Drosophila melanogaster: one gene and its partner. The protein of the gene in region 1 interacts with the protein of each later gene in a pairwise test. Each region holds a gene or a part of one and is shown in the gene's direction. Other genes may lie near its edges.

The links. Proteins that work in one complex are often made in the same cells at the same time.
Region 2: the proteins of CG1640 (region 1) and Ppcs interact in a two-hybrid assay, tested with the Drosophila melanogaster proteins (one large-scale study listed by BioGRID).

Annotation. Positions count from the first base shown.
Region 1 is NC_004354.4:13,368,821-13,373,614, forward strand, and holds the start of CG1640 (uncharacterized protein), read left to right. Parts: upstream 1-1,785; 5' UTR 1,786-1,966; coding exon 1,967-1,982; intron 1,983-2,174; exon of another isoform or gene 2,175-2,706; intron 2,707-4,794. Other genes in the region: dmrt11E (doublesex-Mab related 11E), read left to right, coding at 1-420, 1,179-1,513.
Region 2 is NT_033777.3:19,144,858-19,149,844, reverse strand, and holds the start of Ppcs (phosphopantothenoylcysteine synthetase), read left to right. Parts: upstream 1-1,934; 5' UTR 1,935-2,584; coding exon 2,585-2,710; intron 2,711-3,920; coding exon 3,921-4,364; intron 4,365-4,987. Other genes in the region: CG5835 (uncharacterized protein), read left to right, coding at 213-610, 684-807.

The DNA of each region.
Region 1 (4,794 bases):
ATCACGGCGTCATCTCCTGTGTCAAGGGTCACAAGCGTCTGTGCCGTTGGCGCGAATGCTGCTGCCCCAATTGCCAACTGGTCGTCGATCGCCAGCGGGTGATGGCCGCCCAGGTGGCCCTGCGACGTCAGCAAACCATGGAGGCTCTGGAGGCCACCGCATCATCTACAAAATCCACGGGCGTAACAACGGCCAGTGCCAACAACTCCAGCAGCAGCGAGGGCGAGGACTCCCTCAGCTCCACTTCACCACCGCCGGCACATTCACATCCACATTCGCATTCGCATCCCACATCTTGCGTTAGCAACTCATCTTCATCCTCGGCCACCCGACAGGCTCTGATGGCCCAAAAGAGGATCTACAAGCAGAGACTACGCAGTTTGCAGCAATCCACATTGCATATCACAGCCGCCATGGAAGGTTAGTATGGGACTACATAAATAAGGATTTATGTACATATCAAAAAGGATATCTATCTATGAGTCCGCAATCAAATAGACACTTTCCAATTTGGAAATTATTAGATGTCGTAAAGTAGACGACACAGCTGAAATGATAAGTACATTCCCTACTCACACGCTTTCCCATACGGTGCCAGACTGTCTGGTCCGTTCGTAATCGGAGATCCTCTCCGGTCTCCAGTCTCCTGTCTCCCGCCGCCCATCTTCCGTCTCTTTTCCTCTGTCCATGGACGTGGTCGTGGTCGTGGACAGGAAATGACTGATGCCCAACAATAACAACAGCAATTATTCGACTGACGAAAAACAATTGAAATCGGATGCTTCGAAATGTGTGTGTGCAGTGTACGCACATTTTCCAATCACTTGAGGGGAGTCACATTCGGTAAGCTGAGACGCGACCAAAAACGGAAAAACCCATCCGACTCACAAAAAGAGCCAAATGTGGCAACAGCAATTGACTTCTTTCTGGGTTTTCCATCTGGTTCCATCCGAATAAGTGGAGATCCCGAAACCGGTCCGAAGTTGAAACAAAAAAACAAAAAAAAAAAAACGGTGCCAGGCTGTCTGGTCAGGCGACGCGTGTCTCGGATTACCCAATAATAAATTGTTTCAATTTGGAATACCCATTCATAACGAATCGCGGCAATTTGTAGTGATAACGCCCCCACCAAAACCCTCACTAATTTCAACCATTCCTTTTGGTTCGTTCTCTTTCAGAATACAAACAGCGATTTCCCACGTTCAGCTCGCCATTGATGGAGCGCATGCGCAAACGGCGGGCATTCGCCGATCCGGAACTGAACCATGTCATGGAGGCGACGCTGGGCGGTAACGCTTTGTACTTTGCCACCGTTGCCGCCGCCGCCGCCGCCTGCGCACCCGTTCATCAGGAGCAGCACATTTATCACCCGATGCCGCCGACGATACCGCTAACGATCCCGCCCACAAATCCAGCGATGACCACGCCCGCAGTCACCACTGCCTCCACCGGCAGTGGCAAGAAGCCCAAGCTGAGTTTCTCCATCGAATCCATCATGGGCATCAGCACGTAGCCATGGCTTTCTAGGGCTTACTACCCATCATTTTTTCCAAATGCACTCTGTACATAATTCTAGCGTTAGAAAACCCATTTTTTTGAATAGCAATAAGTTTCGAGTGAAATAAAACATGCGAAAAGGTTTTGTAGAAGAGAAAAAAAAGCTTACCAAACTATTGATAAAAATTCTTTTATACGGAGGAGATATTCACAGAAATCTTATTTTCTAAGAGCTATCATAACGAACTTGAAAAGAATACTATATAAACAAACCTAAGTAGACTATGGGTAAAATGTAGGGCATAGCTTGTTCATACATTTTCGGGCCAGGATTGAATCGACACAAAACTAATTCAATGGGACACTCCTATAACAATCAATTTCAGTGATATATGAAGATGCGCACAAAGCCAGCAAAATTGTTTAAGTGAATTTAAAGCCTTACACGAAAAACAAGCAAAGAGCAAAGATGTTTAAAAACAGAAGTAAGTTCATAATTAATAGAAATAAACGAAAGTTAGTTAAGATCGCAATTAATCGATATTTAAAAAGAGCTATTTATAAAACACATTAGTTTGTTTTTGAATGCTCTGAGCTTTCCAGTGTTGGTGCAAATCGCTGGTCTATCGATCTATCGCCGTCTATCGAAAGTTTGGCTGCGAGGGCTGCAGACGTGATATTTTTAAAACTTAATCGCTGCCCGCTTCATCGTGACTTTTGCCCGCAAGAAAAACATATAGTCGGTAAATACTGCCAGCACTTCATTTTCCATCTCGGTGCGGTTTCAGTTCTTGTTGTCAGTTCCTTAATTGCGTCTAGCGGCCAAAGAGCTTTGAATTTTTGATACGATTCTGATTGGAGCTCGCACGCCGCACATATTCGCACACACACACACACGTACGCGCACACACACGCAGCCAAGCAAGCACACACGTTTTTATTAGGTATTTTATATACAGACATATCGCGTTTATTAATAAGTTTATGCAAGTTCTTGGGATCACAACAAACGCCGTTAGATAATCGCCACGCCCACTTGCGCCCATCAAGGTGAAACGACTAAAAAGTGCAGCGAAAAATCGATTTTTTGCTCTTGAACTGCCGACGTATATATGTATATATGCATGTGCATATATGTACATATATATAAACACAGTGGCCGAGAAATTCTAATTGGGAGCAGCGAGGAAGTGACAGTGAAAGTGATTTGTGCGCCCAAAAAAAAATCTAATACACAATAGTACCCTGATTTTGTTTATCGTTCTGCGTGCGTTTCCCTAATTGAATTGCGTGCCGTGTTATTGTTTTTTTTTTTGTGCTCAATTTGTGCGGCGTCAACAGCTGTTTAGCAACCCAATTAGCACATCAAAACACCCCCTTTACCCGTTATTTCTGCTTCTTTTTGTGTTGCTGTTGTTCGTTGCGCTCTACGTGTCAATCGGAGTTACAATATAATTTAATATAATTTACTAACGTTTGGCAAAAGTTGTGATTTTAGTAAATCCGAATGGCCGTGTTCTAATTGGATTCCTTATCGTTACTATCTTATCCAGTTGGTTTGTCTGATAATCCCCCCAATGCGGGGGGTGAAAGTGCAGGGGGGAGCGGGGTCTTTGAAGCAAAGTGCAGCCAGTTCACATAATTTTCTGTTTCAGATTTTTTTTTAACAGTTCGTTGCATAAGCCAGTTTTGTTGTCAAAACAATCACAAACAAAAGCGATACGCTGCATATATATATATCGCAGATAAACAGTGACTAACAAAAGTTGTCTCAAAAAAAAAAAAATGTTAAAATTTGAAAAATTTATTTAAAATAAATATTTGGAGGTAATGTTTCTTAAATTAATACGCAAAAGTTCTATGCACAGCTGCTTTAGATGGTTATCATATAAAAATTCTATTGGATATATTATTTTATATCTATCTATATCTATATATCGGCATCGTATTGAATTTGTCTTAATTAAGCAGAGATCACTGTATCGATGTTTTCTCATTCCCAAATTCTTACCCCTTTCCCCTAATTCTTAACCCTTTCGTCTATATCAATGCCATCAAAACCGCAACCGGTTTTCCAAAAAGTTATTGCCAACAAGTTTCAGTTTGTCTCGTCTAAACAATATACCTATATATATACACATACATTCATATATTCCAAAGATACATATGTGCGTATATAAAATAGCATACATTTGTGTATTTTTCGGGACCGGCATTTAGTACATTTTTAATTTAAAAACAAATAAATTCGCTGTCGCTAAAAAGAAAGCAAACAATCTGCGGCTGATTGATGCTGATTTTTGAGTGCGAAAAGTATAGTATTTTGGAGGTAATGTCGATCTTTGGTCATTGTCATGTTTCTAAAAGATTCTTTGTTCGTTTGCTCATTTTTTGCATTACGCAATTGGCGTTTCAAAGTGCAGAAATCAGAAAAGCTATATACATATATTCAATTGAAAGACAGGGAATCGTAAGCTGCGAATGGGACGTCACTGATAAGCTGCGCCGATTTGGCTCAAAGTCAAAAGTACGCTCAACTGATAGTGGCCCCCACCAATGGATGCCCTGCCAGTGGATTTAATGGAGAAATATAGCTATTAAATCATACATATGTATACATAATGCCTGGGTAAATGGCCCACAAATCCGTTAACTGCCTCTAAAAAAAAAGTTCCACCAAGATAAGAAATATAGTGAAATATATAGCAGCACACACAAGTAGATTCTAAACGGTCCCATTTTTAATTAAATTTTCTGGATGGTCAAGCAATAAATGTTCTTGAGATTAGGCTTTATGGCCATTCATTTTATTCAGCCGGTAACCGTTTTTATATTTTCCAAAAATATATATTCCTCCTCAAATAAAATATATATTTTTCAGCTTTGCAGTTGCTTGTGCAAAGCCCCAAAACTCTGATAAGAAATGCTCGATTGCAGTTTTGAAATGCGCGCCTTGCGGCGAGTGCAATTGGGTTTGAGTCTAGGATAAATGCACGGCGAATTTAATTGCAAAGTTTCCAAAGGTCGTAAATATTTACACTTTAGCTTCTTGATAAACAGAAAGGCAATAAAGTATCGAACCACAAGCAATCACATTGATAAGCTCTGAAAAAGTAAATGATACCACGCCTTGTCTTTGATAAGATACAAAAATGCACAGTGAAGAAAATGTATTTAGGTACTTGAATATTATATTGAGCGCGTGCTAACAATACCATATAAAAATGCTTAATATAATATGATATATATTTCACATCGAAATATCTATAGTTGCTTAAGTTTTCCTAGCTACAAAGT
Region 2 (4,987 bases), on another chromosome or scaffold:
AGCCACATCGATGACACGAGCCTTTTTTTTGTATACACAGGGAAAAACAAATTGACGCAATTAAAGGCAATTTATAGATAAATATGAAAATATAACAAATAATTAGTGAATATACGTTAAATTCAGCTTAAACATGTTGATCGTTTAATTTTAAAGCTTGAATAATATATGCATGTTATACTAACTAAAATTGTATTTTATTTTAATCGCAGGATACTTCCGACGATTCCGACTCAGAGGCGGAATCGGAGGAGCAGCAGCGGCGGTCATATCCCCACCGCGACGAGGACCAACTGAACTCGGCCACCAATTTGGTTTTGGCACAGAACTACAAGTACGATGTGGAGATCCTGGAATCCGGCGATGCCGACCAAGACGACAGTAGCATGGATGACGTGGACGATCTGGAGGAGCGTTTCAAGGGACGCGGTGTGATCTTCAGCACGGACACCGAAACCTTCGCCAACGAGAACATCGAGATGAGCCCGCTGAACGTGCAGGCGGATGCGGTTAGCCAGGGACACGTGCTGCTCGGCATCGTGGTGGTGGCACTGGCCTTGGTCTCCATCGGCCTGTACGCCGGCCTGGTCATATGGCGCTCGCACCTGGAGTGAGTTCTATTGGCTAATTGCTCTAATTTTCAGAGTGCTAACTCATTTACCATCTCTTTTCACCATCATCAGGCAGCGGTATGGAATGCGCGAACGACTGGTCAATCACGACTTGGAGGATGAAGCGGCTGGTGTCGACGACGTCGATTATCAGGTCTATGCGCCAACCACGACGGCAGCTACGCCTAGGGCGTAGTCCGTTTCGAAATCTGGTCCGATTCGATTCGATCCGATACGACGGTGGGCTTCAATTGGACCTGGTTTCGGTTTAAAGTGCACACTCACCACACAATTCAGACGAGACGACGACGATGGCAATTCATTGCAGCCTCAGCTAGGATGGTGGTGGAGAGACGGTGCTCAATCGTCTAATGTATGCCATAAATTTCCACGACAAGCTGAAAAGCATTCCGCTTCCCAATTACACTCTAATGGCGTTGCTAAAGGTCACGCCGATTTCTAACAGCGCAGTTGACAAGACCAATTAGTTAGTAAGTTTCTGTGATATTGTTCTAGAGATTCTTTTGTACGTCCTTGCACTAACAATACGCATAGAACCCACGTTGCTAATCGATAATAAAAACTATATGTAAATGTAAATGAATATTTAACTTAGGCGTCTTTATTTTGTTGATGGTAAATTCCTGCAAGTTACCTCTTTCACAGCTGCTTAAGACTCTGTGGTTTTCAAAATACTGGAATTATTTAATGGATTATAAATGAATAAGCAATTTAAAAATAACCAAAACATGTTATCTGACTTGATTCATTTTGAGTTTTATTGGATATAAATCTTCACAAGCCTTGTTTACACTTAACACACTCAGGTAAGCCATTAAATTAAAAATAGCCACACAAAGAACGAGTTACACACCCAATAAAATGCAGTAGTATAAGGTATTTTTGGAGTTAACAATTACATTGCTTTTATTTGTTATGCATTTATTCTTTCTTAACCCTAAAATAAAAAAGGTTTCCCTTTAAAAATTGAAATAATTTGTTTTCGTACAGGTATTTATAGCTCAAATTTGAATTTGAATTAGGCGCGTTTTCTTAATTAACAACACTGAAATAATATCTAAAGCGCAGCCAACTTTGCTCAGATAGCTCATGGGTACCACAAGACTAAGAACTAGTTCACAAATATGAATATTCAACAAAAACACCTTCTGGCTGACAGATAACTAGGCAGAAGTGGTGGTCTTTCTTACTTATTAGCTAAATGAAACCTTTGTATAGCTTCCTTAGAACGATACATGAAAAACTTAATCTTGACAAGCAACAAGTTTGCTGCATGCGCCGGAACCAGTCAGCAATGCCTCCAATTCGTCCCTGTCCAACACTGCAATCAGCTGTTACCTGGCCAACGCGTTTTTTTTTTTTGGCCTGCACTTTGAACCCCGAGGTTTCGTGCGAATAAAGATACGGATTTGAGTGCGCCTGTCCACATTCCCGCTCGTCCCGCTCCGCCATCCATCGCTGCCTATCGCATTTTCGGTTCAGAATCCCGCGGACCTTGCTGCCGTGCACATCGCATCGCATTTCCACAGCTGCGTTTTTCAGCATTTTCGTTCGCTCTCTCTCTCTCCGGTTTTTCAGAGCGCTCCGTTCCGCTCTCCCGCTCGCGCGCGCTCCCCTTAACGGTTCCATTGATAAGCAGCGCCACCCGCAGCCCCTGCCCCGCCCCCCTGCCACGCATATTCCGCCCTTCGCATTTCGGAAACTGCAAAAAAAAACCAAACCAAAGCAAAGCAAAAGCAAATCAATCAATTAAGATAGTACGCCGAATAGTGCAGTGCGTGTGTTAATTAATTTTGGTTGCCATTTCGCACATTCTGTATTTATTAATTGGCAGTGCATAGCTTCCGGCGGAAGAGGGCAACTTTCCGTTCATTTTCGAGCTTCCGTTTGTCGGCCAATTAGCAGCAGGTCGACAAAGAAAAAGCAAAAACAAGCGTAAAGGATAAGCCAACATGACGCACTGGGAGGACTTCTACAACACGCACCTGCCGCCCGCGGACTTCGAGGACAATCGCTCCCTGCTCAAGGAGTTCTGCGAACGGCACAACAAGCTCCAGAATCGCATCGTCCTCGTCACGGTGAGCTGGGATGATCCAAATCCGAATTAGGATTAGGATTAGCGCTAAATAACCACTGTACTCCGTTAATTAACTGCCCAAGCTGGTGAAAGCTTTCATGGTTGAGCCGAGCGCCTGGGGCATTAAAAACAAATGTGTAAAGTGTGGAAGTGAATAAATTTAAATTGGCTAGAACAAAGTTCGTAAATGTTAAACACATGCAGGGGCGCATGCATAAACAATTAGCATTTTGTGAATGGAGAAAACAAAAGTTGTTAAGTGTTTTTTTAACATACTTTAAAAAACCAAAATCACCTTTTTTTTGTTAGTTTTTAATTTAACATTTTAGAAATTTAATCTTAGTTAAGTTTCACTTTAAGTTAAGTTTTCCACTTTAAAATGCTGCTATGCGTAAATAATATATATTGCAAATATCTGCAAGTCTTGCAAATACTTGATTCGCCTCCTAAAGCTCAAAGTTAAATATGAAATTATGTGGGTCAACTGGTGTTTATTCACTGGGGCCAGCTTAATCCGAACATGATTTACGCAAATAGTTAACAACGAGGCACATTAGTTTCTCTCTATAAGATTTATGGTCAACTTGCTGATTTATCTGCCTGATTTGAATAACTAAATGCTGCCAAATATCTTGGATTTGTTCTAAGTCATTGGATTTTACATGAAAGGGACTTGGTTATTCTAATTTGTTTTATAAGAAATTATTGTAATGATTTGCACAAAACTGTTATTGTGCCTATAAGAAAGGATGTTAAAGGGGAGAAAATACATAAGAAGATACAAAACAAGAGAAAACTAGTCGAGTTACTCGGCTGTCAGACACCCAGTACTAAGAAGAACATCAAAAATTTATATTTGATATTAGTAAAAATGGTTAGAATCTGCATATCTAAACTTAATTTTGCAGATCTGGTAGTTACCAGGATCACAGCGTTCATACGGACAGAAATACGGACAAATGGACGGACATAGATTTCAGCGATTCTAGTATGCCCTTTCAACTCTACGAGTAAAGGGTATAACCACCACGAGCATTTAACCCCAGTTTTTGAACATGAAAATTTAATAGAGAATAGAATTTAAAAGTTGCTTTAATTGCAACATAACGATTAGGAAACAGAATAATCAATATTAAATAGGAGCAAAGAAAAAATACCAAAATGAACCAAAATATTTTCTAAAAGAACCCTAATTTGTTCAACATTTCCAGTCCGGTGGCACCACAGTTCCCCTGGAGCACAATACGGTGCGGTTTGTGGACAATTTTAGTGCTGGAACGCGTGGCTCCGCCTCGGCGGAATACTTCCTCGACCACGACTATGCCGTGATTTTCATGCATCGCCACAAGTCGCTGGAGCCCTTCACGCGCCACTTCACCGGCCAGCAGTTCTTCGACATGCTGGACATTGCGGACAACAGCCAGAGTTCGACGATAGCCATCAAACCGGATTCGGTGGACGTGTTTGCTCCGGTGCTGGCCAAATACAAGATAGCCCGCGAAACGCAGATGATCCTGTACGTGAACTTCACCAGCGTGGTGGACTACATGTGGCTGCTCCGCGCCGCCTGCGAGTGCCTGGCCGCCTTCGAGGAGCGAGCCGTGCTCTACCTAGCCGCAGCCGTATCCGATTTCTACATACCCGAGGACATGATGGTAAGATGAGACTACGGACGATGCCGGATGAGGCGGGTGGGCGGTCATGTGGGAAATCTCGTAATTGATTGCGCTCCTCACTGCGACGAGTGCGGAATGAGTGAGTGGAAATTGGTTTTTATCGATTCCCAAAGCTGCACTGCGGCAAATTAAGGATGTAGTACTTAAAAGTAAGGCCATGGCATAGTGATTGTGAATTCGTATCGATTTTCAAAGCAGCAACTACTAGTTGACATTGCAAAAGCGTCAATCATTTTGATCCTGATTTTGCTGATGCATGGAATGTATGTATGTATAATGCACTTTAAAGCACCATTTCCTGGCAGTGTGTTTCTAGTTGTTTTCGCTACCCTTGTGCCTGGTGCTCCTTCCGATTCCCGGTCGCTGTGCAAGTCCCCGGTCTGTGACACATTTCCTCTCCACATTATTGACGTTCGACTGGGCTAAGTCAACTATGGCTGCTGCTGCTGCTCCTCCAGTTCCTCTCTAGCTTCCTCCAATTCCATCCACTGGCCAGCAGGAGCCTTATCACAGGCTGTCAGTGTCACTCACGCTGGCCTTGTGGCCTTGTCCGCCAGCAGCCTTAACATTGTCATCGTATAATTTGATTTGCATAATTTTGC